Lytechinus pictus: one gene and its partners. The protein of the gene in region 1 binds, or shares a complex with, the protein of each later gene. Links are inferred from orthologs where the notes say so. Each region holds a gene or a part of one and is shown in the gene's direction. Other genes may lie near its edges. The genes, in order: pleiotropic regulator 1-like; pre-mRNA-splicing factor ATP-dependent RNA helicase DHX16-like; RING-type E3 ubiquitin-protein ligase PPIL2-like; RNA-binding motif protein, X-linked 2-like.

Region 1 (7,699 bases):
TTTCATTCTCTCCCCCTCTCTTAATTTTTTTTCTGGTCATTTTCAGTGATTTCCCCTTTTTTATTGTGTGTCCTATTCTCCTCCAAAATATATGGAAAATATATGAGATTAGGAAATTAATTAAAGAGCATATTTATTTTGTCATGATGTTCAAGATAAAAATCATTTAAAAAAGAAATGCAACTACAAGGTACATCAGTAGTCATGTTGAAAAATGTATTTTTAAAGCCGTCAATGGTATGGTATGTAAAACTGTAAGGCTATAACTTGTTTTGAAGCAATAAAACTTTGTTTTGAAGGATTTTTTCGGGCAAGTGAAATATATATTCGGGCAAGTATTTTCCAACTATTTGAAAATTTACTTGCCTGACTGGGCAAGTGCTTCAAAAAAGTTGTGTAGCACCCTGCCAATAGTAATCTTGAATTATGTTAAGAATTGAGCATTCAAAGAATTTAGACTCAGTTATAAAATTACAGAGGAGCTGAATCAAGGTTGTGAAATTATTAGCGGGCTTCCTTGTATTTTCGTAGAAGAGACAAACGAAGTCACTTGCTAGGCCGAGGTAAGCGAAATTTGCTCTTTTTATAATGAAATTATTTCAAACTCATATGTATAATTTTGTTATGTTTTGCTACTTACCGGAAAGAGCCCCGGTGCGTAGCGAGAAGGAGTTTCGGCAAATATTACTTCAGCAATGAAGCGATGTTTGCCGACTACTTCGAAATCCAGGGTCAAACACGGTCCCTTATACGAGGTTAGTATATATACTAACCTCGTATTAGTGTGAGTGGTTTGTGCCCAACTTTGGGCTCTGATTTCATGAATGGAAAATATGTCAGACGTAATCGAAAGCGCATGCGCATTGTGCTTCTTTTCTCGGAGCTCGGAGACGTCCAGAGATGGAATAAAAAATAAAAATAATGCCAGTATAATACTATTAATTCTTCCATATGAAAATAACATACTTTGTTGACATCGTCAATATTTTTAGTATGGCCATAAAATCTTATTAAATTGTAATTATTTAACATCCAATAATAATTTATATGAATTTAGAGCTCGATCCGAGACATTCGTATTTATTTCGATCACAAGCTCGTGTAAAAAAAAAATGGATTATCATTATCAGGATTAAGTCTCGAACATCGTCAGAACTCATATTCCACAATCTTTCCTCACAATCGTTATATCAGCATTGAATACCAATTCAAATGACCATCCAGAGAAAATTACGTATTTATTTCCATCAATTTATTTGGAGCTAATTTTGGATCCAACTACCCCGCCAACTACACAATCTCAGGCAAGTTACAGCGCTCTCCCCGCTGTTTGCACTTGTTAGATGGCGCTGGCAAGCACGCCTGTCGTTTCGGGAGAGTGAGTGAACGGGGCTGCGGACGGGGCTGGTGTGTGCGAGTCTGGACTGCGAATGCTAGTTGACCGAAAATCATTCGGATCGACTCTGCGTGATTCAATTCTTTAATATTGTTTCATTTTAAACCTATATGTTATCATCTGCAAATATCATTGTTGAAGATATTTTGGGAAGAATTCTGCATTGCTACCCGGCCTTTTTTGTGTTTTTTGATCATGGAAAATACAAACGAACTTTGCTCTGTCATCTGCTTTTGCAACGCTCACCCAGCCAGTGTAGACCGTCAGTGCATGTAGTGCATGCATAGCGCTGCATCGACGGCCGGCCGGAGCAAAAACAATGACTCGATTTTCCCCACCTTCAAATTTCGATTCATCGATGATCGATCTAATTAAAGATGTCGAACACCGGTTTTCAAAATAATCGATATGACTCGGGCTTAAAAGAAAGTGAAAGACGGACATGACAGACAGCAACTTAGTTTTAGTCGGTTAGTCGAGGGCGACTGGTCCAAAAACACGGGCCATGCCTAACGTAAGACCAAAAAGCTTCAGTCTCTGTATTTTGGTTGTTCCGCTGAACTGCGACTTGTCTGCGTTGGCTCCACTCACCAATACATAGACTGAAGAGTTGTTGGCCCGTACGTACAGCCGACGTATTAGCAGTAACGTTAGATCTAACTTTCTGCAGAAACCCAATTTTCGGATCGTATTTTTGTACATAAAATGTCACATAAAAAAGAAAGTACATTCGAACTTACTAAAAAATATAAAATTAAGAAATATCGTACCTCAGACCGCAGTTACCGCTAATTCCTTTCAAATGATGATTGAAACATAGTCATCTTCGATCCTTTCTTTGGTCAACGTAAGTTGCCATCTTGGATGACGTCATCATCCTTACAGACGTATTTACCAGTCGCTATATATCGCGATTTGTGCCGCTGCTTTGCGCTTGTAGATGTGCGTGCGTTCGGAACTTGTCGCTCGCATTGATTGGCCAGGATATCGAAAATTTAATCGGAAAGCCTTGATAAAAGCGCAACACACGGCTGCCATTTTTCCTCTCCGGCGGAAAATTAAAAAAATAAGGAATAAATCATCGGTAACGTATATTTTTGATATTTTCTTAGAACTTATATAGTATCAAAAGAAAGATTAGAGTCTAACGAAAAAATAGTGGGCCTTCGTTCTAGATAATATAATGTCATTTAGAATAAAAAAAAAAATTAAAATCTGGTCAAAACCCGGTCGCCCGAATTGCTGACCTGATTACACATGCAGGCTCGCACTAACCAAGGCTCCACATTAACTTTTTTTGTTGTGTCCCGTTCGGGCCACCAAAACCTTCAAAATTTTTTTTTTTGTGGTCCGATATTAAACTTTTGTGGCCCGAAAAAGAAAAAGAAAAACATGAATTAAAAATGAATAAAACAAACTTCTGAAATATTAATTCTGCAGCCAGTACCACTAAGTTACTTTCACTTAATACATCTTGTATGTAAATCTTGTTTGCTGTTATTTTACTTTGCTAATTGATTTGTGTTAATATATAAATTGTTCTATTATTGTAAATATGAAATGATTGAAAGAGAATAAAAGAATTGTATTGTTCCCAGGTTGTGTGGACTTTTAAAAATCTCTGTATAGACACACACTCATAATAGTAAGTAAATAAATAGTGCATAGCAAACTCAGATAGATGTACAAAACAATGATTTTTCCCTTCTTCTTTTTTTAATCCTAAAACCTATATGTAGATTATGCAGGCCCCAAATCCAGTTTATTTTCTCTTTTCCAGCATATCATAGCAGGAGAAAATCACAGAAAAATATGCTGCAAAATTAGATTAATGCATAAAACGGGGAAACAAACAAAAATAATTTTTAGAATAGTATATTAAAAAAAGAAAACAAAAATAATAAAATAAATAAGTGAAATAAAACGAAAGAAAGGAAATGGAGAAAGAAAAAAACAAAGAACAGGGAAAAAAAAGAAAAGAAAAAATTTAGAGAAAAATAAGACAACGGCAAAAGTTATATCTGGAAAAAACAGTGTGAGAAAAAAATCCTTCCCTATATTTGCCAAAATGCTGGAAAAATTCACATTTCATATCAATGAAATGCCTTCCCAAAGTATTAACTTCCTCAAGAGTGGTTTAAGAAGTCATTTATAAACAAGAAAGAAAGAAACTGTCTGTTTATTTTTAGCTAGAAAAGACACAGCTTCGAAAGAAACCAAGTATCAACATACATACAAATGCACATGTGGGACTGTGATGTGTATTAATGCATTTGGAAATTGGTCTTTTTGAGTCAAAAGAGAGGTCATAATTCTTCTTTTTAATGCTTGCAAATAAACAGGTTACACCAGATTTTAGTAATGTGGACTGTAGAAGGGCATTTCATTGGTGTAAAATGTGACTTTGACGTAGATTTTCAAAGTTCTGTGGAAGATTTCTTAGCAGCAACATTTCGTATCGCAGCTCCCTAAGTCTGAATAGTCTGCTAGCGCACAGCTAGCTTCAGTAGTTTCATGCATGCAAAGCTCACGCCAGACGGCCAGCACAGCTGGATAAAAGTTACTGTATGCTATAGCGGTAGGCCTACATACTGTCATGACTATGCAATCTTTGTGTGTGTGTAGATTAACAAAAAGGGCGCATGACGAATTGGCTTGCAATTTGAACTGTAGGAAGTTGATAAATGCATGCAAAATCGGGAGAAAAATTGCGCTGAAAATTATTGGTTGCTCTATTCGGGCCACCAAAACTTAACATTTTTTCAATAATGGTTGCCCGAGGTGAATTTCTGGTGGCCCCGGGCCACCGCTAATGTCGAGCCTTGCTAACACACTACCGTCGGTGAATAGGGATTATAGTGAAATGTCAGAAATTGTTAAATAATTCCCCAGAAACGACGGTTGTATAGAAACGACGGTTGTATGTAAACGACGGTTGTATGTACAAGACAATCAACAGACTGAGCTCACACTGCATGAGCATATTTTGCATCAAAAGTCATAAATTCAAAATGAAAAAGGATCTATTCTTAGGTGTCGTATAAATCAAATAATGGACGTTCTTTTCAATCATGCAATGGACAAAATACTTCATTCAGGGAAAAATGTAATGAATAAGATTAATGGATCATTCATCTTTGAAGTACTTTGTCCATTGCACTCAAAAACATAATTATTTGTGTAGTAGATAATTTTCAATACCTGGTATTTATCATGATGAAATCTGATTAGTAGTCAAAGGCTGAATTTGCATGAATTCAGGGTAAAATGTCAATGTTTTATTTAACTTACAGGTCAGTAAACAGTCCGTCCATACCCTGGTGTTTCGATCACTCAAGAGGTCACATGAAATGTTCATAGCTGATAATGCCCATCCTCCTAACAGGGATCCTCATGCGTAAGTATCAAACATCATTTTTTATTAGTACATCTTTGGTATGGGCATATTGTTTTTGACACTTTCATATGTTATGATAAACCTTTTATCTCCTAGTGGGCCATATTTCTCATGAATTCTGTAATCTGATTGGTCAATTTGTTTGTGAGACAAACCTATATTGAACAAGCTGTTGTTGTTTTAATGTTGTTCTCATTGTTACGCGCATTCCCAGTGATGATTTCAACCCCGTAATATGAGACAGTATTACATGTGTATTCAAGCATCGCGCTGCGCACTACTATTTGCTACTATCAATTTCAATAGCATAATGTGCATTATTTTTACTGTGATCATTGTGATGTCATGGATGACTTCCTTTCAAAAATCACTCTCAAAATGCAGGGTTTGCATTGATTTTTAGTTCTATTCTATTGATTTCCCCTATTCCAAAATAATATAAGGATACACTTAAAGAGATAAAATCGTTACACCTTGCTTGTATCTACGTGCATGTTCTGGTTACATAATATGTGTACAATCAGGGTGTAACTACATGTAATAGTATCTTTAATTTTGAACAAAATCACTATTTGTTTTTAAAGGATGGAATAATTTTTTCAATAGTAAACCAAGTTGTATTTGATGGAATTAGAAGTACACGTCATAAACTAATGCCGGAAGTTTTTAGGTGAAAAGGATCATCAACCATAAAAAAAACATCCTCAGCTTTATAATATCTTGTCAATATTGATCAACAATAACCCACACAAGTACTTGATTGAATGCAGAAGACATTCAGTGAGAGCTTTAGACATGCAACCGTTCCCTTTTTAGAGTGTTTGTTCCTCTTTTTTGCTATGAATACGCAAATACTTTTCTTTAAATTTCCGATCATGGAGTATAGATTACACACAGCACGCGACACTAACGCCGGTCCGACCGTCCCAGACCGGTAAAAATCACTGTCAGGCCAGTAACTTGTTACATGAAAAGAACAAGTAAATTCTTGCCTACGAGCACATGTTAAAATGGTGAATTATCAAGTTTTCAAGTAGAGTCATTTCACATATTTTTTTTTACTGATCTCACTACAACAGGCTGGCAATTGTTACGTTGAGACAAATCTTTAAAGATACTCTTTTTCCTTCTAAGAATACTTTTTTTTGTAGAAGGTTGGCAGGTCTGAGAATAAGGAGAAATTTTACCAATTGGAATAGTTGGAATTTACTCAATCATGAGATGTTTTTCATAAAGTTTTGTAATCAAATGGCTTGTTTCTGCAGAGAACCATTCAACGGTATTACCCACGTAAGTATCCATTATCAATCCAGAATTCTGGAAAAACTTCCCTGTAGAAACAGACGCGATGCAGTTTATTGATAAACTGCATCTCATAAACACCTCCCAGAGGTGATTCTGAGAAACCGTATTTTGCACGATGCGGTTTATTGATAAACCACATCGCGCAAATCACCGTTTCTCATAACCGTGTTTATCCGTTTATTTGCAACGCGGAATGTGAGTTAATTGGATTATTCGCTCTGTAGAAACAGGATAGTTTAAGGGCGATACAGTTATTCGATTCCGGAATAAGAACCTTTCTTAATGATTCTCTGTAGAAACACGCCGACATTTTTTTGTCACTTTCCGTGCCAAATATTTCCATATATACATGTATATCCTTTACTTTGTGTGTGCTAACAGAGATACGGTTAAGGTTGCCTGCAAAGTTAGAGATCAGTATGGGATGGTACAGAATCTTACAGCTAACACAGAACACCAGAGAATAGCTGAACTATCACACAGAGAAATAAGAGAAGGGAGCCAGGAGTATGAACAAGGTAACCCGATGACTTGATTGTATAATAATTTAGGCATTATGAACATTAATGTTTGATTGGTTGGTTGGTCGGTTGGTCGGTCGGTCGAACGGAATATATCAGATATAAGTTTACAAGGTAATATATGTAAACATGTAATATATATAATAAATTTATAATATAGTTACATTATAAGCATCGGTTCAATAATATCAAACAAAATGACAGTTTTAAAAGAATGCAGGAGACTGCCATCGTGAGCAATAAGGCTTGATAATGATGGCGACCTCGTAAAAATCATACCAATAAAGAAGAATTGGCTGAAATTATAGAAGTCGCTCAATTACACTATATGATTAAGGTCTGAGTAGTTTCATTTCAAAAATCCTACTGTAGACGGGTCAATATATGGTTTGACCCGGAACAAATTGCAACAAATGATTTTTCAACGGTATTTTGTACTATCTGACCTTAGAAATAACATACTAAAAATCTACCAAAATCCGCATCCGGGAAAGTGGTTATTTTTAAGATGGCGTCCAAGATGGCCGCCATTCACTAAAAATGGATATAACTCAATCATTATCCACCCTAGAATCCTATTTGGGTTCATATTCCATGGTCCAATTGGTAAAATAATTTATTTATACAAGTTAGAGTGAATATTAGCACTCCAGGGTACCAGGAAAATCCAAGATGGCGCCCAAAATGGCTGCTGTAGGCTGAAAATCCACAATTCATCTAAATTTGTTTTTTATTCAATGGTTTTAAGGATTAAATAGTACATTGAAACAAGTTACAAGGACAGCCAGTGGTCTGGTGTGTCCAAAAATCCAAGATGGCTTCCAAAAATGGAGTTTAAAATGGATGTTGATAATTAAAATGGACATAGTTCATTTCATATCCACCTGAGAGATATGATTTTGGTGTCTAGACCATGGTTTCAATGGTCAAATAAGACATTGGGACAAAGTACAAGGACAGTCAGTGGTCCGGTTTGTTCAAAAATCCAAGATGGCTTTCAAAAATGGAGTAAAAAATGCTGTTGCTACTTAAAAGAAAAACCAACATAGTTTGTTCAATATCCGGGAATATGTTTTTTGT
Region 2 (7,371 bases), on another chromosome or scaffold:
TGGCCCTAAAACTTGATTGAAAAAAATGTTCACAACTGTATAGGGCAAGGCTTCAGTCTCCAAGCTCACGACTGTGCAGGTACGTCCACTTCCATTGGCAATTCCGGCTGAATTCCACCCCGGCAGCCTGACATCCACCCTTAAGACCAAGAAATGATATTAAAGAAAGTAAATCAGGGAAAAACGAGGAATGGAAAGGGGGACAATAAATTACATCATTTTGTTTTAAATCCTGTAAAAAATAATAATTTAATTTCAAATTAAGCCCCCAAATAAATTTTTTTTTATTGATGGCTACCCTCAGCCCGGCATGCCCACACAGCTACACCCCGAATATTTATTTTTTCACATTTCGGGGGCAGGAGTGAAATCGCCCCAAGCCCCATGCACCCACGTTAAAGTATTTTTTTTGCGACTCAAACATCCACACCACAGTCACACTCAAAGTCAAAGAAATTGAAGCATATTAATTATTGCAACTTAAAACTCAGCTCTCTACACCAGGGAAACTCAATCTAAAAAAAAAAATGTAAAAAAAAAAGGCCTAAAAATAATCAATTTGAAGTTAAAAATTAAGCCCCCAAATAAAACATTTATTATTGATGGCTACTCTCAGCCCGGCATGCCCACACATCTACACTGCGAATATTTTTTCACATTTCGGGGGCAGGAGTGAATCGCCCCGAGGCCGAGCCCCCACCCACGTAAAAGTATTTTTTGTGCGACTCAAACATCCACACCACAGTCACACTCAGTCAAAGAAATTGAAGTATATTAAATTATTACAATCTTAAAGCTCTACACCAGGGAAAATAAAAATAGAAAAAATAAAAATATATATATAAATATTTACAAAAAAAAGGCAGAGCCTGTACGACACTGCCAAGCTTCAAGCTCTAGTTCACTCTCTCACTCAGTCAAGCTCAGCTCTTTGACTGTGCACGCCCACTTCCATTGGGGATTCGGGCTGAATCCCACCCCGCCAGTTTAGGCGGCCGAGCTACGTAGAATTGCGATGAAGAGCAGCGGACCGTTCATCGGTTGTTCGCTTCTTGCGACCAGAGAGAAAAGGTGAAAAACTTTAACAAAATCGTGCAAATGCACCAAATTTTATCCTTGTGATGAGAAAATGGAGTTAATGGAATACAAGAAAGTCCATCTTCTGCGATAAAAGTGGTAACTTGAGGAGAAATGATCACAAAATCAAGTCAGTTGTTGAGCGGGGCCGAGCCGAGCACCGACACAGTTAATACACGCGCGCCTATGGGAATCGCGAGCTGTCGAAAAACGCCTAAAATTACACTCTTTTTTTATTTCAGCGAAAAAAAAAGCAATAGAAAGTGAAGAACATTACCATCAGACCATATCTCTAGAAAATCTTTACAAGAAATTTCGAAATGACGGAAAAATAGACGCAAATTTGTGAGAAAAAAAATCTTTTAATGGGTGGGACAACTCGGCCCGCGGTCCGAGTTGTCCCGTGGTCCGAGTTGTCCCTGATTCCTACTAACCTCGCACAACCAACGTGTTAACGTAATGGATTTTAGAGTTGTCGGTTAACATCGCTTCATAACGCGAATGATGTTAGCCGAAACCCTTTCCCCTACTCACCAGGTCTTTTTCTGGTGAAAAGTGTTCCATTTCCAATTTTTAACTTATTTCTATATAAAATTAAAAATTTTGCCTCCGACGAAGATTCTGCTAGGATCGAAAGCTTAGGCCCCTTTTTGACTTTCTAAAATTAAAAAGGACATAAAAAAGAGCAAAATCGCTTTCCTCGGCCTGAAAAGTGGCTTCGCATGTCTCTTCCACGGAAATAAAAAGAAGGTCGTTGGTGGCGCTAATACAATTCACAACCTTAATTCAGCTTGTTGGTATTTTAAAAACTAGATTCTTCATTCATTGTACCGGTACCGGTACTTTTATATTATTTTTGCTGACGATGATACTTTTTGGAAAATATTCAAAGCGATGACAAATTAAACAAAAAATATAGAAAATTCTACTACCTTGAACGAAGCCCCACAAGTGCTACCGTTTGTTTGTCAATTAATGTTCCACCAAAGTCTTTACATTACAGTAAAAAGATTGGACACTTTGCCAACTTCGCGTAACGCTTTGCATCGATTTACGTGTAAGATAGTTTTTGTGCCTAGTCTTTCCCTTGTAGTTGATATAAGATAAATCGCACGCCCTCTTTAGCTTATTAGACAAAAAATTTGAAAAAGGAAGAATTGACTTCACATCGTTCGGTAAGTTTCGTAGGAGGACTTGATCCTGTAAATCCTCTTATTAAATTTGCGGGATTTTGTTGCAATTTTGCATGCGCCGCGCCTTCAATTTTCCTGTACATGGCGGCAGTAATGCACCCATGGGTGAGGCAAAGCAAGCAACGCAGCTCCGCCGCAGGCCGCTGAAGGGTCAGAGTAGCAAGGACTCTCAGGGGGCTCCTAGAGAGTAAAATCATTCACTAACGTTAGCTTACCCTCCAGAAGCCAGATATTGCGTGCGCGTGCACGCCTTCATGTGCGTAGCTGTAGTGTAGAGAGGCAAAAGCTTTGGTTGTTCCGCTGAACTCCGTTGGCTCCACTCACCAATTACAGAGACCGAAGTTCTAGCTCGATCTGTACAGGGACTCAATGGCCATATATATGTTTATGTATTAAGTTCAGATAAACCAGGAAATGGGAGTTGCGCGACAGCGGAAGTAATTCATAGTTTTATTTTTTCCTGTTTTGGTGCATTTCAGGCCAAAACGGAATAATAATCTTTATTTTGGTCCAGTTCTTTGTATATATTTTTATGAAATAAAGACAAAAATTGATTTTGCATTGTTAACCCCCTAATGGCGGCTGCACGATCGCTAGCCGTCTGTGTATGAGGGTAATTTTAAAAAATTAAAAATGTTTAAAAACTCCTCGAACAGACGGCTGCCAGCTGTGTATAGAGAGACGAGATGGGCAAAATTGAAACTTTCGCCCCCCCACTTATACTAGTAGGAGGTTAGTATGCTATACTAACCTCATACACCGAATCACGTTTGGTCCTGGATTTCTAAGTAGTCGGCAAACATTGAAGAAGTAATATTTGCCAAAACTCATTCTCGCTACTCACTGGGGTTCTTTCCGGTGAGTAGCCATAGATCTACAATTGTAATTTTAATTTTAATTAGAAATCCAGGGCCACACGCGGTTCGGTGTACGAGGTAAGTAAAGCATACTGGTACTAACCTCGCACTAGTGTGAGTGGTTTAGAACTTCATTTCCGATATTAATACATTTTTAAAACAATGTATATGAAAAAGCACAAAAAATTATGATGAGAAGATGAGATTTAACTGACCTATGTATACAAGTGCATATAGAGGGTGGCAGATATTTTCCGTCCTCTATATGTGTCTCTTAGCTTAACTACTAACAAAGAAGGCAAGATGGCAGCGTAAACATAGGTAAGTTAAATCTCATCTTTTCATAATAATTTTTGGTGTTTTTTTATTTATATTGTTTTAAAAATGTAATCAATAACTTACAGGCCTAAATGTCCGAAATTACATGTAAGTTCTAGCTAGAAATTTTACAGGAAGAGTAGAAATCTCGGTGGGCGAAAGTTTTTATTTTGCCCGTCCTTTACGCACATGATATAGGCACAATCCCTGGCTCCATGGAGAGTAAGTTAATTTTAGTGAATGATTTTTACTCTCTAGGAGCCTCCTGGCTAGGGCAGAGGCAGGGCTAAAAATATTCCGACCCAATGAAAAATGTGAAGATTCATAGGGGTAATTGTCCTTTTTTTTTACTTAAAAGTTAGCACGTTAGTTAGACTTAAGTTAATTTGGGAGAAAACGTATAGTCTAAGAGTGCACTTGTCTACTCTGATACTTATAGCATCGATATTGAATGAAAAACCAACCATCTATTCAATCAAGATTCAAACTTTGAATCTTGAATTATCATATCTTGGAAACCATACCGGTACCTTGAAAGTAGGCATAAAGTTATACTAAACTTATCATTTGACTCTCGGTGTCTACAAATCAGCAATAATAACTTAGAATAAGCCCTGTGTTGTTGTGGAAGTTCATGGACAAATGAATATTTTGAGAGGGTTAAACTTGTCCATCTTCTGTGACCAAAATCATCTGCAAACTTTTTGCCCCACTGGTGGAAATGGTCTGCTAATGAACCGTCACAGATTGACTGAAATAAAAATTCACTTTCAAGTAGATCTTGGGGGTCTATAATTATATGAAAAAATAGTTTGAAAATAGATCTAGAGTGGAGTCTGACTTAGGATTATAATGTAATAATGTTTGGTAACTCTTACTCTTCCACATTGTTATTTTTACAGGTGATCCTTGAGCCAATACATCAATATGGCATCAGGCAACCTGGACCAGTGGGTGAAGGACGAGCTCTATGATGTCCTTGGAATCAGTGACAGATACATTGCAGAATTCCTTGTCGGACTTGCCAAGAGGGCGTCTAGCAGCTCAGACTTGGTACAGCAAATCAGGCAGACTGGGACCATTGATATCTCAGATGGTGTGGTCAGGTTTGCAGGAGAACTCTTCAATAAGGTACCAATAACACTTAACCAGAGAAATCTTTATTTTTAGCATTTTATTTGTAGGAAGCATTGATGTCAGAAAGTGAGAAAACACAAACTATTGAATAGTAAACCTCTATCATTTGCAATTTGTAAGTATTATATCTCCTGTTATGACGAACTGGACGGAATCTCCATTTTTTTTTTATCTTGTGGAAAAGGTGCTTTTGAAATTTCAACTACTAGTACTATGATTATTGACCAGTGGGGCTTAAATTCTGGTACTTTCATGGCAAAGTTACTTTTCCCAATGGCCAAGTTTCTTTATTACAGCTCAAATGTGAAAGTTGAAAAAGTACAATGAATGAAATCTTCAAGGCCAATGAGAAGGAAACTGAGGCCAATCAATAGGGCATCCTCAGTTCAATATTCTTGAGACCTGCTAATTATCTAGGACTTTCGATTATCAAGAATTTAGACGGCCCAAAGTGATTTAAGTCAAATTCATGCTGTCAAAATTTTTATCACATTAGTCTGAAGGGTTGCATTACAAACAGATCAAGATGTACAAAGTCTGTACAATTCCTTTTCCCCTTGGCGTATTTTTCCAGATACCGAGGAAGCAGCAAGCTATAAATCCCAATAGACTGAAAGAGAAGCAAGCGAAAGAACAAGAATTGAAGAATAGGTCATACAAGCTCCTTTCGGATGATGAGGAAGAAGAAGAGCAACTGGTTAGAATTGTCAGAGAAAAGGTAATATCTGTATTTGGGTTCTTTTGAGATGTATTGGACATGAGGATCAGCTCCAGAATGATACATACATGTACATGAAATGTGTGGTTTAAATTCTGCTATGACAGTAGTATGAAGATGTAGTTATACTAAGGTTAGTAATGATGATATCGATAGAGATGGTAATGATGATAATTATAATGTTGATGATGTGATAGAAGGTAGTGATGATGATGATGGTGTTAATGATGATGGTGATGATAGTGATAATGGTGATGATGATGATGATGATGATGGTGATGATTGTGGTGTTCATGATGATGGTGTTAATGATGATGGTGATAATGGTGATGATGTTGATGTTGATGATGATGATGGTGATGATGATGTTGATGTTGAGGGTGATGATGCTGGTGGTGGTGATGTTGATCATGGTGATGATGATCATTGTGATGATGAAGATATTGATGATTATGATCATGGTTATGATGGTGGTGGTGGTGATGATGATGATGATGAAGTTGATGATGATGATGATGATGATAATGAATTCAATGATGATGATGATGGTGATGATGGTGATGGTAAAGATGATTATATTAGTGATGGTGATGATTATGATGACAACAATAGTTATAATAGGACTGATGACACTTTTATTAATTGACACAGAGACGGAAGACTACTGGTAAAAAGAGACAGCACATCAGAAAACAGAAACAAGAGAGTAGTGATGAAGATAGCGAGCCAGAACCTAAGAGGTAAGACTGATATCTACTTTGGATATACTTAATAATAAAAACAATAATAATATATAGCATTTAGAGTGCGCCTTCTATCTAGTTTCAGAGGCACAGAGGGAATTATTACACAGAAATGGGAGGAGGGTGGTGTTTTTTTTAATATGATGAGAATAGATATGTCTTAAGGTTGGTTTTGAATGACTATAGACTTGGCATTGTGTATTGTTGAAGAGAGTGCATTCCACAAAGTAGGAGCACTATGAGCAAAAGCTTTTTTTTTCTTTTTTTCTCATTTTAAAGTGTATAGTATAATTATTTCTTCAAGTCTGATCAGATGTATGTCCTTTGCTCTTTCTTATTTTGTAGTGAGATGTGTGCATATTTATCTTTTGTGTTGTATTTTAGGAACAACCCTCTGATTGGGCTTTAGCTTTTGTTTGTCTCCCCACATATTAAAATATCTTGTTACATCTTATAATGTTAGTTTGTGTACTATCATAACGGGGAAATTCACCCTGTTGTCAAATTGGATTTAATAAAAAGAGAAACATGAGAGAAATATCCTAATGAGAGTTTGTTGAAAATCAAATAGGTAAACAGAGATATGTATTTGTTATGTTTTGATATTGTGACATTATATACAAGCAACTCTTTTGCCATAAAAAAAACTTTGGCAAATAAACAAAAACTCTGGCAAACAAAATTATGCCATTGAAAATTACACTTTAAAAACTCTGGCAAAAAATTTGCCAGAGTTTTTTATGGCAAAAGTTTTATGCTACGGGCCCCATTTGTCACATGATATAATTCCATAAAATATTGTTTTCTCTGAATATTGAAATTTGAACCAGGAATAGAAAGCATAGTAATAATCGTAGAACATTTAAAAAATTATGTCATTGCATGACCACTTTCTACAATCAGTTGTTAAAATAAAGCATGATTGATCACTCAGCCTTAAAACTTTCAGTGAAAAATGCACAATTTCATTTGTTCCCAAATCAGGCAAGCTCATATCAAGAAGGAGTCAAGTTCAGAATCTGATAGTACGGAGGATGAAGAGAAGGAGAGGAGGAGGGATTTAGAAGAGAGAGATGCATTCGCTGCCAGATTGAAAAACAAGGATAAAGAACGAACAAGGAAGAAAACTAATAAGAGCAGCAAGAAGGTGGGTAGTTTGATAAATGGTTTGGAATGGAAATAGAGTTTTCTTTACCGGCCAAGTTTACTCCAACATCAAGTCGATTTGCATAAGAGAGAAAAATCAAGAAAGCATTTCAAAATGCTGAAATTTCATTTAATTTTGAAGTGGAATGAGAAAAGTCAGTTAAAAGTTTTGCTTAAATCAT
Region 3 (7,667 bases), on another chromosome or scaffold:
GATAGAGAGATACAAGAAAAAAACTGAAGGGATGGGTGAAAAAATGATATGGAATATATAGTCAGAGAAAAGGGGAAATACACTGAAATGTAGGCTAGAATCAAAGACGTAGATATAGATGAGTGAATAGATAAATTTATAGAACAATGGTAATATAGAGAGATAGATAGATAGATAGATATATATATAGGTAGATAGATAGGTAGGTAGATATATAGATAGATAGAATTAAAGACCAAGATATAGATGAGTGAATAGATAAATTTATAGAAGAATGGTAATATAGATAGATAGATATATATATAGGTAGATAGATAGGTAGGTAGATATATAGATAGATAGAATTAAAGACCGAGATATAGATGAGTGAATAGATAAATTTATAGAAGAATGGTAATATAGATAGATAGATAGAATAGTAGATAAAAATAAATCGATTGATAAATAGAAAATTATAAAGAAATATAATTTCAAATTACGCTATATAAGCACAAAACGTCACCCCCCCCCCCTTTGTTCCTACTCCTTTTCCCTCTAATTTTTATTCCTTCCTTTGGCTCCATCCTTCTGGTCTTCCCTGAAATTACCTTTTTTTTTGTTTTAGTTACTTCTTTTTTAAATCCCGTTTATCTTTCTCACCCATTTTCTATCACTCCTTTTCTTTCTTTTTTCTATTTCTCCCTCTCCCGTTTATACCTTTACATTCATTTCTTTCTCATTTACTTTCCATTCTCATTTTCTTTTTACGTCTCCTATATTCTTCTTTTATTTGCCTTTTTCCCTCTCTTTCTTTCAATTTTCGGTAGTTAGGTGGCCTTTCCGACTAAAACTTTTCACAGCAAGACATAATTATAGGGAGATATTCATTGATGTATCAAAATGAGGTGAGAAGAAAATTAAGGGAAAATTTGACATTGAGGGTATATCATACACTCTTAAAAATGTTGGGCAACATACGGTCCACACAACAATTGGTTAAAACTTTATCCAATTCTGGGTAGTTTTACACCAATACTGTGTAGTTTTCACCCAAAGCACACATTATTGGTGTAAAACTACCCAGAATTGGATAAAGTTTTAACCAATTGTTGTGTGGACCGTATGTTGCCCAACATTTTTAAGAGTGTAAGGACTCGCATGCTAGCTTTACGAAAAACAAATAAACTTTATTAGTCATTAGACTATTTTTAACCTTTCAGCAAAGTTAATTATGTACATTCAAAATATAAAACAATAACAAGATATATTTTACAGTTGAATTTAAACAATTTATTCGACCAATGCATGCTATTCATGTCAGTATTGCGGCAAAATATTACATTAGGGACAATTTATGCATTATTAATAACATGGTCAATATTACTGCACTTGGCAAGAATCATAACAGCAATTAAAAGGTTTTTTGGGTTTGAGAGTTCGTGAGTTCATTCAGTCAGTGCCTAGAAGTTGATGCAGAAGACATATACGGATGATAACCCATTGGTGTGTAGAAAGAAGACGGTGTTCGGTGAAGATACTCAGCGCTAGAGGGAGAAGGAGAGTGACTGCTACGAGAGAGAGAGTCTACTGACGCCAATGCAGTGGCGTAACAGGCGGGGGGGGGGGCAGGGGGGGGGGTAAGCTGCCCCCCTGGCGGAGCTCACCGGGAAAATAAAAAAAAAACGGGAAAAAGAAAAAAAGGGAGGAAGAAAGGGAAAGGGAAAGGAAAGAAAAGAAAAAAGGGGAAAGGGAAAGGAAAAGGGAAAAGAAAACTAAGAAAAAAACATAAAAAAGGGAAAACGGAAAGATAACGGGAAAAGGAAGGAAAAAAGAACAAGTGAGAAAAAACAATTCGCCCCGATATAATACAGTAGCATGATTAGTAAGACAGGGAAATAAATTAAAGATGACAAAAAGGCAAACAAAAGCGGGAAATAAAGGCCCCTATATGGACCCTTCCTGCATTAAGCTTTACGTTGAAACACTGGCATACCGGGGGGGGGGGAAATAAAAGAAAATAAAGGAGGCAGCGAAATTAGATGAATGAAAAAAATATATGACATGATATTTGCTATAATGATGTAAAAATCTATCACATAATTAGAATTTCATTTTAACAGGCCTTTTTTTTATTGGCTCGCTTCGCTCGCTGGCGACTTTTTACAAATTTTCCCACATTTGCTATGGTGTGCCCCTCACAATATGTGGATGATTACGATACACAACTGCATTGAATTTATGTGTTGTGTTAAAGCTTTATAAATATACACGCAATTTGATTAAAATAAGTGGCCATCTGCAAGGTTTATGGCTTTGATATCAAGAGGTTCCGGGGTTCTACCCTGGACCCCACCATAAAGCACTGTTATATGGATGAGTTGGACCATGGCCCCCAAAAGTTCTACAACGAAACAAAAAAAAAATGAGGAAAGAAAGGAAAGTGTATTATATTTTTCTGAATATCACGTTAAAATCTATCTTCATGTTAGATTCTCATGAAAAGGTGATTTTTTTTATCTCGCTCGCTTCGCTCCCCCGGACCTATATTAAGCTACTTCTTGCCAGAAGCGCCATACTCGGCCCCCTCGAGCATATAGAGCTTCGCCCTGATGCTCACAATCATAACAAAAATCCTGTTCACCGTGGCGTACAAAAAAGAGAGAAAAAAGGAAAAAGAGGAGGGTGAAATAATTATGATATCATCTTTTTAACATTATGTCAAAATCTATCACAAAATTGGATTTTTGCAATAAAAATGTATAAAAATTTTGCTCGCTCGCTTATATATATATATATATATATATATATATATTGGCCCGATATGCCATATCGCCCCCTCAAAATTTTTGCCTTATGACGCCATTGCCTGTTCCATGATATGACCGGGACATTTTTGGCTCTTGCCCCCCCTTGGCCACCGACCCCTGTTACGCTGCTGCATCAATGGACTGGTGGCGCCTTTCGTTGAGTCACGTGATGTCGTGCAGTGGAGCTGAGTGACGCCATGACATTGAAGATGTGGGTCCAATGAAACTGTCGTTGACTCTGACGTCGATCGACTGCTTTCAGCGAGAAAGTCGACAGAGAACTTGGATGACACGACGCCCAACTTCTTTGTAGGTGGTGTCGTCTGGTTGACCTCATCGGCGTCGCATGGTGTCTTCCGCTCTTTCAATTTTTGGTAATTAGGTGGCCTTTTCGACTAAACTCTTTCACAGCAAGGCATAATTATAGGGAGATATTCATTAATGTATCAAAAAGATATGAGAAGAAAATTAAAGGAAAGGGATTTGACATTGTTGGTATATCATAAGGACTCGCATGCTTCCTTCGCGAAAAACAAATAAACTCTATTAATCATTAGACTCTTTCGAACCAATCAGCAAAGTTAATTATGTACATTCAAAATATAAAACAACAACAAGATATATTTTACAGTTGAATTTGAACATTTTATTCGACCAATGCTATTCACGTCAGTAGTGCGGCAAAATATTACATTAGGCGCCACCAGTCCATTGATGTCAGTAGAGTTTCTCTCTCGTAGCAGTCGCTCTCCTTCTCCCTCTAGCGCACTGACTGAATGAACTCTCGAACTCTCAAACAGAAAGGAACTTTCCATTGCTGTTAAAATAATATTCTTCTCAATTGCACTAATATTGGTCATATAATCATAATGCTCAAACTGTTCTTATAATGTTACAATTTGTAAAACTATTAAAACTAGCAGGAATGGCATTAGTCGAATAAATCGTTTGAATTCATTTATAAAAATATATCTTTTTTGATGTACATATTAATTATCTTTGCTTTAAGGTTGGAAAGAGGTGGGATTGATAAAATGTATGCCCTATTTATTTTTAAGTGAAGAGACGTTCTCACTACAAGTTTCCACTAAACTAGTTTCCACTGAACTAGTTTTAGGAAGGGAGTGAGAACGGTGTCTTATATAGTGCAGTAGAATATATAATTTAGATAATAGTTTCTGCGCTCTGAAATCTATAAATTTAGATCTATACTATTCATTTTATTTAAAATGTTATCACTCTCTTATCTTGCATCCAATTTTTTAATGAAATTTTCAGTTTTTTTCTGGGGTGCATGGACTTGACCTTTAAAATTAAATAACTTCGTTATTTGTTATCCGATTTTGATGATATTTTCAGAATTTTGCCCTGTGAATTTTACATTATTTATTGAGATATGAATACTTCCAGCCTGGACCATCCCTTTAAATCCCGAGCTGGGTTTTTCATTTGCGTTTCACACGGGATTTCAAAATCCCGAGGGGGTTTAAAATTCTTGGGTGAATTCGGGCCATAATGTTTATACACAAAGGAGTCGCTCGATCGCTCACTTACTTTTTGGTGTTGGTGTTGGTGTTGAAACTTTGGATTGCTTAATTCCCCCCCCCCCTCCCTTAGCTCCAAAATCTATTCTGAGTTTGTAAAACTGATCCAGATCACATTATTGACATCTCAACAACTAGTGAGTGACTTCTCGGCACCATCTTCATTTTATGTTTGGTGTTATAATCGTGTAAACATTGACCTAACAGGTTAACACCAACATCAAACGGTCAACACTGAACTCGAAGTCACCCATTGGCATTAATCCCGGGAGTATACCCCTCACCATTATTTTGATTCACATAACGCCAGCTACGGTAGCTTTTTTTAAACTATACGGTATGGTACGTAGGACGTAGAACTTAGATCATCATTAATAATACTTAGTGGAGAAAATCGACGCGGAACTCCGGAATTTTATTGAAATTTAATTTTTACCTTGTTCAAGTAGAGTCGATAAATCAAGATGGGGAAGAGACAACATCAGTCAGATAAGATGTGAGTATTGTATTTTATGGTTTTCCCCCTTTTCATCTGATTCTTTAATTCACGGTTTCTTTAGTTTAGGGCCCCTGGCACCTGCGGGTTTCTCCCATGTCACAACGCCGGTCTGGGCGGCGGAGTGCGTAGTAGAATCCCGTTGGCGTTGCTTGCTCTTGTACTGTAGGCGAAATTTCTGCCTGGCTGTTTCACTTTCAAACACAAACTGACAAAGCAGGTTGTGAATTGTGTGAAGGAGGTTGAGGGGGCTGGCGATGTCGCAAAAATGTACTGAAATTTAAAATGAAGAAATCTCTGGTTTTCTTCTGAAAATCTGCATTGACGATTGATCTGACCATGCTGACTGAGTTTGCGAACTTTCTAACAAATTGAAATTAAGGATTGTATCTTCAAAATGACAGCAACAAAAAACCCCACAGAAAATCTCCACCCCATTCAATTGATTGAATTTGCACAGAAATCAAGCCGACAGCATGCTATCGGTATTGCTAGCTAGTGCCATAGTGGGCACTCACAACATTGCAAGGTTAGTGCTATACCGTATACGAACCTTGCACAACCAACATGTTTTTGTAGAGTTGTCGTTAACATCGCTTCATAACGTGAATGATGTTAGCCGAAACCCATTCCGCTACTCACCAGGGCTTTTTCTGGTAGAAAGCGTTCCATTTTCAATTTTTAACATATTTTTTTAATTTAAAAAGGACACAAAAAAGAGCAAAATCGCTTACCTCCGCCTGGAAAGTGGCTTCGCACGTCTCTTCCACGGAAATAAAAGGAAGGTCGTTCGTGGCGCTAATACAGTTCACAACCTTAATTCAGCTTGGTGGTATTTTTAAAACTAGATTCATGATTCATTGTATGCGCAATTCCAATAATTGTTTGATAAAATAGAGACCCCAATAAATGCAATAACTTAAAAACCATGTCACTTTAGTACAAATGACCTTCCTCTGATCATGCGCAGAATCTTCTGATCATGCGCAGCTTGAAACAGCTTGAAAACAAACGGCATGACCAGTTATTTTTTTAACAGACATTTCATTAAAACAACTGATTCTTCCATTTGAATTTACAATAGAATGTTTCATGTTTATTTCTATACTAAAATTTATTGTTGAATATATGTTGTTGAAAATTTCCCTCCCCATAATAACGTTGATTACAAATATCCATTGATTTGATCGATTTGATGCAGCAACTTTGAGTATGCGGCATTGTAGGCCTTATAATATCATAACCACTTTACAGTGAACCATGTGATATTGTTACCCTGGCTGTACTTCACCTGGGAAACTCCAGATAACTTTGCCTGTTTTTTTTTCCTGTTTTAATAGAAAATCATCACTTTGGCCCATTTCATAAAAGATTTATGATGATGGTAACTTTACCTTTAAAACTATGTTCCGTGGTTACAGAGTTCAGCATCCTATCAAAACAAGATTTGCATTAATACCATAATGGCAAAAGTACCATCATCATAAATTTGTACGATGGGCCCCTGGAGTAGGATTCAACCTATTATCTTCTGATTGAAAGGCGAGTGTTGGAACCATTTCTATTACTTTAATAGTTTGCAAACTTCTTCTCACAATGAAACAGGTATCTGACCTCCAAGGAGTGGACGGCATTCTACGGTGGCAAGAAAACTGGTAAGAGAGATTGAAGTTTTCTCATCTCTATCCATCTTTATTCTCTGATCTTTTTAATGTTAGAAGACATTATAATAATCATAGAGTTGAGATGAATAGCAAAGAGGCAGATGGCACAATAATGAGCAGTAACAAGCTATCAACTTGGAACATGACATTTGGGTATTTATTTTTTTGTTCAGATAGGGTTCACCCCATGGTGGGTGCTAAAATTGCACCCTTTCCAACATCTGAAACCTTTAGCATAGATCTGGCAAGGGGGTTAGCATTGAAATTGCACCTAGAGCTCTGATATTTTTTCATGGTACACCAGTGCTTCTGAGGTTTGTGGATTAAACTTTCAAGGTATATATTTTTCTCTCTCTTTTTCTTCCCCTTTACTTTAACATTTTTTGCCTCCGACAAAGATTCTGCTAGGATCGAAAGCTTAGGCCCCTATTGACTTTCTAATTTACTCCATTGGCTCTCTTTTATTAGATAAGCAGTTTTCAGCAGCTTCTTTTTGCCATTTTTTGTACCCGTTAAAGTGATGCCATTGTAAGTTGTCCATCTAGTCCCCCTGATATACATTGTATACTCTTTATGAAAACTGAATAATTTTCTTTCTTATTTTAATGTTGTATCACAGAATCACAGAAATCTGAGTTTCGTAGATTACCATTTGATCATTGCAGGTATGTGATTTCATTCATTAGAAAATCTTAAAGAAGGGAATACATAGGAATTTTATAAAGTATTAGCTATATTTTCATATATAAGATTTTATACTTATTTCATTTCCTTATGTAAATTGAAGAGTTATTAATATATTTAAGCGCTTAGAGAAATTTTGTTAGGCGCTATGTAAGTATTGAATTATTATTATTATTATATCGTATTTAGTATTGTTTCATGGTTTGAAGTATTAATCATATGACAGGTCTTTTTTTTCAACCGTGCCGGGGGGGGGGGGCAGGCCTACATATGCACAAAATCTCAAAAACTTTTTCAAATAATAATAATTAAAAATTAAACAGTTGTATTTAATAAATGTACTTCTAAATTTTTTTGCACAAGATATGATTAAACGATTGTATTCTTATTCAAATAGTATTTACATTTTTTTCTTATATCCAAAGTCTATCCCTTCAGCCTTTTGAGCACCCCTACTGTACTTCAGATGGTATTATCTTTGATCTGATGAGTA
Region 4 (7,420 bases), on another chromosome or scaffold:
CTTTCTTACAATGTCACTATTGATATATGGCACCTTTTAGATGGGTCAGCAGCCAGCTTTTTCCACCGAAATGCAAGACGAGATTTCTGAAATTTCTGAGTAGCATAAAATCTAGAGTTCTGATTGGTTGAATGGGAACATTGGAATTTGCGTGGGTGTGTGGTCTCTATGACCAAACAAAGCATGGTATTCTTGATTTTAAACTGCTAAATGTACTTGGCCTATTAAAAGCTGGCTGCTGACCCATCTAAGATACCTCTTCTTATGAAAATTATATCATATTAAAGCTTAGATCTTGAGCTTTATCATAATCTAAAAATTATTTGGGCCCAACGAGAAATTAAGTGTTAAAACAACAAGTTTTTTTGCATTAAAATAATTATTTTGTTTCATGTTTTAGAACAAAAGTTTCACCTATGTTATAAAATCTTTTTAAAAATCCAGACACATGACATGAAAGAATGATATTTCTTTATAAAGATACCAAAAACATGAAATTTGGTCAATATTTAGAGCAGCAATGCCCGAATAAAAAGAGGTGTTTTCGTCCGCACCAAGCTCATTAACAATGCAAAAACCCTCTAGTCATGAATATCACTTGGATAAAAGAAGCTACTTTTTGAGGGCTTGCCGACTGACTGATTACATTTTCTATCATGATATGTCACCACTGAACAATAAAGTGTAATCTGAAATGTTTGTGTTGGGAAGTAACTAGCGCAAATATGAAATGTTTTTGTCAAGTTATTACTTTTAATTTGTCTAAAATATGAAGATTTTTTTGGGGAAAATGACACCTAAATATTTTTTTCAGCTCCTGGTGACAAATCAATGTGATGAAGGGGCATATATGACATACTCATGAATTTGATATCAAATTCGTCATGATAGCAAAAATATTTGATAAGATACAGTAAATTTTATGACGTTTGACAAATGTCAGCTTTTCTTTAAATTTCCTTGGTGTATGTAAACTTCTGGCCTTAACTGTAGGTACCATTGTATAATTATGAACCTTTTGCAGTGAGAATCACTGACAGGCAGTTTAGAGTATTTATATCATGAGCAGTTTGTCTCTTTCTCATGTAATCTAATACCACATTGAGCTAAACCCTTTCGCACGTATTCTGAAGTCGGGTTTAATTTAAACTCTGGTTTTTAGTTGTGGTTTAACTATGGAAAGCCAGTTGTTATATAAATCTACAACAAGTAGAGGTTCAATGTATCAGCTCATTTGACTCCCAAAACATTAACTGCCTGGGAAAGATAAGTATGACAGTCGTCTTCACCAATAAAGAATTAGTTAAGAGCACAGTAAACATGAGAAGCATTCACTCTAAAAACAAAATTTTGAAACGTTTGGCTTCCCATAGTTTTAGCACAGAGTTAGACCATGGTCTTTGTTAAACCCGACTTCAGAATACGGGCCTTTGGGTCATATTCTGATAGCCATGGTTTAAACTTGGGTTAACTAAGACCACATTTTCAGCTATTAAAGTATTTTCGTTTATAACAAAGGACAAGAGTTATTCTTTCAAATTTTGATGTTTTTAGGTACATTTTGTGTCATCAATTACATGATTAACAATTGTATCCCTGGGTGACGGTCAAATGTAATTTCAGATCAATCGACTCTGATAAAAAAAAAGTTATGTTCGTCATCTTAAAAGTGTTTCATCTAACTAAATGAAACGTGAAATGTGTGAAATGGTTATTGGATATCACAAATGATATTAAATCAATGTGTTTACCAGTGAAGGTCAAATGTCATTTGAGGTCATTGAACTTTGGGGTTTATTATCAATTTATATACTTTCTTACAAGACATTTGAGAGGTTGCAACACTAGGTCACCAGACATGGTCATATGACATTTTCTCTAACTTGTATGCATTCCTTTTACTTTGCTGATCAACACATTCTTTGTCATGTTGAAATAAAGAACCTTCAAAATCACCTGCAGTCAAAATTTTTATCTGTTTAATCTCTTTGAGGCAAGTAATCATTTATGTCCTTTTGTGTTCATTGAAATGTCCCTTTGCCTTGGTGTATCAAGAATATGAAGTTACATCAATTTATGTAGTATGATTTTCTTTTTTACCATATGGCCTTGAATAATATTTTGTTATTTATGACACTTATTAAACTGATAATTCTGAAGAAAAATATTGATGTGCTGTTTCTTTTATGTTTTATTGTTATGTTGAACATTTAATAGTCTATATACATGAATAGCCTTTCTGTGAAAGATGTGAACAAACAAATGAATCATTGTGCCACTCTTTATTTGAAAAAAAAAATCAAGCCATTTCCTTTCACTTCATTTCAGTTTATCTTTATTTATGAAAGACTACAAAATATTGCATACATAAATATAGGCAACCTAAACCCAAGAAAGAATCTAGCTTATTTGAAAGAATAGAGTAAGAGAAACCAAAAAATAATTTAAAAATCGCTTATAAAATAAGAGAGTTATGGAAGCTTAAAGAGTCTTGCAAACACTATTCATAAGCTTGCTTACATTTGCAAAATATATCTGATATCTCCTGACCATGACATATGGTAGGAATTGTATTTTCCCATATTATGTTGCGCTCAAAATAAAGCAAGATGTGGTTTGTAAGGTAATTTTGAAAATTTGTGTAAAAAGCGAAATTAGTCATTATTTAGCATGTTGCCAATATGAGGACACCCATTGAATTTACATCAAGACTTTACACACTTACATAACTCTTATTTTGTAACTTTGATAAAACAAAGCTTTTTTTATTGCTCTCATATTACTCTTCAAATGTTTCCTTTGGTTTTGGTTTTCTGTAAACAAATTTAGACACGTTGGACCCCTTCAGCTCTACCTGGGGAAAGGGAAATAAGGTTCCAAATAATTAACCTGTTGCCAATTTGCTTTGTTTTTTCTTCATTTTTTTTCCAGTTGCCATTTGAGGGTCATCTGAGGGGGGGGGGGGTACTTCCATTGAAGAGGACGATAGCAACAGCAATAAAAACTTAACAAACCACACACAGAGAAAGTTGTGATTTTGGGGGGGATAAGCACTGTCATAATCCAAATCAGGAAAAGGGTGTGCAATTTCGTGAATGTTATGATTTTGAAACATTAATAAATACCCCAGCCTTCATATCTTTCCTCCTTTATCCTCACCATCATAAATGACAAATAGTAGGTAAAATCACCTTTCAACTCTACAAAATAATGGTTTTATACACTGCAAAAATTCCGGTGTTGATTTAACACCAGCCAGGAATCTAAATATGTCCACATCAGAGAAATATTTAGATAACACCGGTTTGGAATCAAGCCGATGCTCTTTTAATACTAATTGGTGTTGTAAACACATATCTGGTGTTAGACCAAAACTTAACTGGTGTTGTTTAACACTTCTCTGGTGTTGACATATATTGATTCCGGGCTGGTGTTAAATCAACACCAGAGTTTTTGCAGTGTAGCAGGCCCTACAAATTTTAGCCAAAACAAATTGCCTGCTCCCAGAAACAGACACCAAAATCAGAAAAAGGACCACCAAATAAAATAGTTGTGGACAAAATATGTGATTGGGGGGTGGCGGTCATTTAGGATTTTAATTGGCCCGGCACACTTTTTGGGGGACCCGAGACCAAAAAATATTGTCATTTCATATTGAGATACATTAAAAGGAATTTAAAGAACTGTTCCCTTATCAAAATAACAAAAAAAAAATATATATATATTTGACCCATGACCATGTACAGCCCACTCCTACTAATATTTAAGACGGGCATAATTTGATTTAGCATCCTCAACAACAACACAATACATATTTAATTCTCGAGAGAGAATATAGATATTTTGATAGTAGTGAGAATAAGAAAAGGTATTGGTGAAAAAAAATATCAAAAGAGAGTGTGGGAGAGAGGAGTATAAAATGGCGGTATGATGGACCTGACATTTTTGTTTGAAAAAAAAAGTTACTATTATTTCTATTTCTAATGTCAATCTGCAAATCTATAATCAACTGAAATCGCTTGTGCTAGAAAGATTGAAAAGTGCCAACAATAACTGAGGAAAATAATCAGCATTTTCTTCATTTCAAAATATGCTTACATCATTTCACTTAGAATAAAACATAAAAAATGTTTATATTGTTAATCATATCACTGAAACTAGCTAACAAAGAAGAAAAAAATACACTTTATTCACAGCAGTTGCAGTATAAACTAGACTCGATTGTTATGTCTTCCGGAACGAAGTTTAGTTTGCCGAAAATTAATCAGAATCGAGATGATGATTGATTGCATTTGAGCACGTCGGGCATATATAGGCCGAGGATCGAACCCGAGACTTGCCATGAACAATAGACCACTCTGTCGTCCACGGCACCCCTATGCATCTTGAGAGCACCGTCAATACAGGCCCGTGTTGTTGCCCTCTACGTTGGTTGGTCTTATGCATGCAGGGCTGCCTCTTTATGCTATGTCTGTTTGTTAATTTATGTACCGGTACGTGCGGAAATCCCCGCGGAGATCATGAAGTAAGTTGATGAAATCTTGAATTTAGGGTATGAACAGTGTAAATGATGATATCAGCAATATTAACACTCAATCTGTTGTCTCTTTTTCAGCTGCGTTATAATTCTCACTCGACTAGTAATAAACTAATATATGTTGTCCCACTCGCTCAATTTTATGTCATGTCTTTGACTTTGTAGGGTCGGGATCACTCTTTTATTGCGAGGTTAATAGTATAACCTCGCACCATGAACCGCGTTTGGCAGTGTATTTCTAACTAGTGGGTCACGCGTGCTGGGATCCCACTTCTGGTGTCCACAACACCCGACTTCTATGGCTTGATATTTCTGTGCGCGGCGGCATGTACAGTGCAGTGGCAGTGGTAACCCACGACCTAGTACCAATTGAATGAGGTCCAAACATCATGAACTAAGCTTGTAACCGATTTTGCAATCGGCAACCGATTCCATTCGATTTCACCACAATCGGCGATCACTTGCCGATTTTCGATCATGCCCATCAAAGAAAAAAATCGAATGTAAAAAATCGAATTGTTGAAAATTGGCGGAGCCGCGGAGCTCAGTTGCATTTTGCCCTTACGCATCGCCAGCTGCTGTCTGTGCGTACTATGCCGCTCTAGCTCTAGCAGCACGTCGCACTAGCACTGCCGTGACCGGTAGCAAAGACACTACAGCTTGAGTTAGTTGAGGGTACACGTTCGCCCGCTCTATTGAGCTCTAGCAGCAGACATAAGCGCAAGCCACGGATGAATAAAAATAATGGCGGCACGCGACTTGGTACATAATCAACCAAGGAGCTGAAGCTCTTTTGATCGAACAGATCTAGTCATAATCTCCTTGATCCTTACCAAAATATATTCCTCGATCGCGATCATTTCATTTCTCGGGTTCTTTTCACATTTTCCCCCATGACCATATCCCCGGCCAGCCTTTCACTCCTTTTCATGTATGCATCGTTTCGGTGGCCGTGGTGGGGGATCGGGGGGGGGGGGGGTAGACTTGTGAAGCTTTGCCTAGCGTGATAATGAGATTGTCTTTTTATGTTCATATTTTTTGTGTCTTTTTATTATGAATTCCTCATAATATTTTGATTTACTGATATTGTACATGAAATAATAAAATCATGTTCAACTTACAGGTATCTAGAATAGGCCTATAGGACCTTTTATGCATGTATGTTTGCGTTTTTTTTACAATTCTGTTTATAGATATTTCTTGAAGATTTTTTTTCTGTATTTCTCCCCTTGTGAATATAAATTGTCAAAAAAGATGTCCATATATTGACTCTTTAGTGTTAAAATGTTAAAAGGTTAATTTATAAATGTAGAACCAATAACCAATATGTTAATAATTTCATACAATATAGGCATATGATATACATGTACATTGTTTTCACAATTCATGTTATATGATGATGAAGAAATGAAGTATAATTTAAAAAAAAACGAATACTTCTGAAGTCTGAATCCCTTTTCAGACTTCAGGTGAACGTAGATGAAAAAAAAAACCTTTTCCATTTTGTTTATTCTTCTTAGGTTCTTAGAGGGTGGAAGAAATTCAAATATGACACTTTCTATTTTCCATTGGACAGAACCTCGGCCTATATTTTTTTTCTCTTTATTGTATAATGATGTATCTGGTAAAATCTGAACCCTCTGGCTGATCTTTGTTTGTGGAAAATAGGAAAAGAACGTTGGAAAATGAGAAGCATATATTATAATCGTATTCTTCATATTTGTAATTCTATATTGCATATTTCCTTTTATCTTTATTTCCATTCAGTGATTTTGATTTTTGTTTGTTTTGCTTCGTTGACAAATATATAGAAAGTGAAGGTTTTCACAGAATGCCCTCCTATCGAAATGATTTTTACCCCAATAATCTTGCAGCTGTTACTTTGGTCATATACTCATGATTTCTTTAATAATAAATAAAAAAAGTGAACATCAAAATTTATGTCTCGTGCTAGTATTTCTCACTCGTCCCTTTCATTTGTTTTATTCTCTCTTTCATTTTATGCTCTGATCGCTTGTTTCTATCATTGAATGGTTTGTTAAAAACAGCAACATGTTTGATGTATTTTTTTTAATTAAGGGCGTAAAGCACTGAAGAATGGAGAGAAAAACCTGTTTAATAAGGGTCTTTATCAAGTCCTTTCTTTGGGTTTTCACAAAATGAACTCCAAACGGACTGATTAGAAAAAAAATCTTCCCTCTCTTCAAGAAATAACCAAATCAAAAGCTATAATAATTTTATGATATGGACATTGCCATTGGACTGGTTTGGTGCCGTTGATGGACCAAGAAAGGCGGCAGATGTTTTCCGTCCAGCTTGTTTCCCCTTCTCTCCTGTTCAATCGACCGAGAGACGGAAGTGTGATGACATTGCATCCCAGCAAAAGGGAACCCGTTTTTCAGAACCTAGATTCACAATCATCAAATAAATTTTGATCGAACTATATTTGACAACGAAATGAGAGTAAATCCTTATTTTGAAAACTTTCAGCAAATTATGCTTGCATGGCAGAATTCAAGAAGTATTATGTAATTCTAAATCTCCTCTCATTTGGAAATAAAGAGCCCAAATAAAGTGTTACTATAGTAACTACTAACGAACCAAGAGTATTTTACAATCATAATAGGCATCGCTATCTCGTTTGCCTATAATACAAATTCCCTATTATTCTTGAGAGTAAAATAAAATTACATCACTCTTTAGGTCGTCCCATGTTGTCTTGTCCCTGTAAAAAATACTCCGCGATAGCAAAAAACAACCAGTCGTCTCTACTGGAAAACTCTGACAACGCGATTTCTTTTTTCTGAGACGCACTGTAAGCATATATGTACGTGGTATGTGTGTGTGTGGTTTAGGATGTTTTCGTTTCAGCCTACCAGCTGA

What was found.
Region 2: pleiotropic regulator 1-like (region 1) and pre-mRNA-splicing factor ATP-dependent RNA helicase DHX16-like share a complex: the UniProt entries of both Homo sapiens proteins name them as parts of the minor spliceosome. The link is inferred for Lytechinus pictus from reciprocal best matches to the Homo sapiens genes PLRG1 and DHX16.
Region 3: pleiotropic regulator 1-like (region 1) and RING-type E3 ubiquitin-protein ligase PPIL2-like share a complex: the UniProt entries of both Homo sapiens proteins name them as parts of the minor spliceosome. The link is inferred for Lytechinus pictus from reciprocal best matches to the Homo sapiens genes PLRG1 and PPIL2.
Region 4: pleiotropic regulator 1-like (region 1) and RNA-binding motif protein, X-linked 2-like share a complex: the UniProt entries of both Homo sapiens proteins name them as parts of the minor spliceosome. The link is inferred for Lytechinus pictus from reciprocal best matches to the Homo sapiens genes PLRG1 and RBMX2.

What each region holds. Positions count from the first base shown.
Region 1 is NC_087249.1:42,998,826-43,006,524, forward strand, and holds the start of pleiotropic regulator 1-like, read left to right. Parts: upstream 1-4,687; 5' UTR 4,688-4,746; coding exon 4,747-4,793; intron 4,794-6,479; coding exon 6,480-6,616; intron 6,617-7,699. UniProt on the Homo sapiens protein: Involved in pre-mRNA splicing as component of the spliceosome. Component of the PRP19-CDC5L complex that forms an integral part of the spliceosome and is required for activating pre-mRNA splicing.
Region 2 is NC_087259.1:20,692,948-20,700,318, reverse strand, and holds the start of pre-mRNA-splicing factor ATP-dependent RNA helicase DHX16-like, read left to right. Parts: upstream 1-4,351; 5' UTR 4,352-4,372; coding exon 4,373-4,576; intron 4,577-5,156; coding exon 5,157-5,300; intron 5,301-5,951; coding exon 5,952-6,040; intron 6,041-7,027; coding exon 7,028-7,190; intron 7,191-7,371. UniProt on the Homo sapiens protein: Required for pre-mRNA splicing as a component of the spliceosome. Contributes to pre-mRNA splicing after spliceosome formation and prior to the first transesterification reaction.
Region 3 is NC_087246.1:20,478,973-20,486,639, forward strand, and holds the start of RING-type E3 ubiquitin-protein ligase PPIL2-like, read left to right. Parts: upstream 1-4,657; 5' UTR 4,658-4,794; coding exon 4,795-4,826; intron 4,827-6,431; coding exon 6,432-6,481; intron 6,482-7,109; coding exon 7,110-7,155; intron 7,156-7,599; coding exon 7,600-7,667. Other genes in the region: uncharacterized protein LOC129283664, read right to left, coding at 1,433-1,563, 2,902-3,147, 4,191-4,206. UniProt on the Homo sapiens protein: Has a ubiquitin-protein ligase activity acting as an E3 ubiquitin protein ligase or as an ubiquitin-ubiquitin ligase promoting elongation of ubiquitin chains on substrates.
Region 4 is NC_087260.1:9,505,373-9,512,792, forward strand, and holds the start of RNA-binding motif protein, X-linked 2-like, read left to right. Parts: upstream 1-4,409; 5' UTR 4,410-4,520; coding exon 4,521-4,525; intron 4,526-7,420. UniProt on the Homo sapiens protein: Involved in pre-mRNA splicing as component of the activated spliceosome. As a component of the minor spliceosome, involved in the splicing of U12-type introns in pre-mRNAs.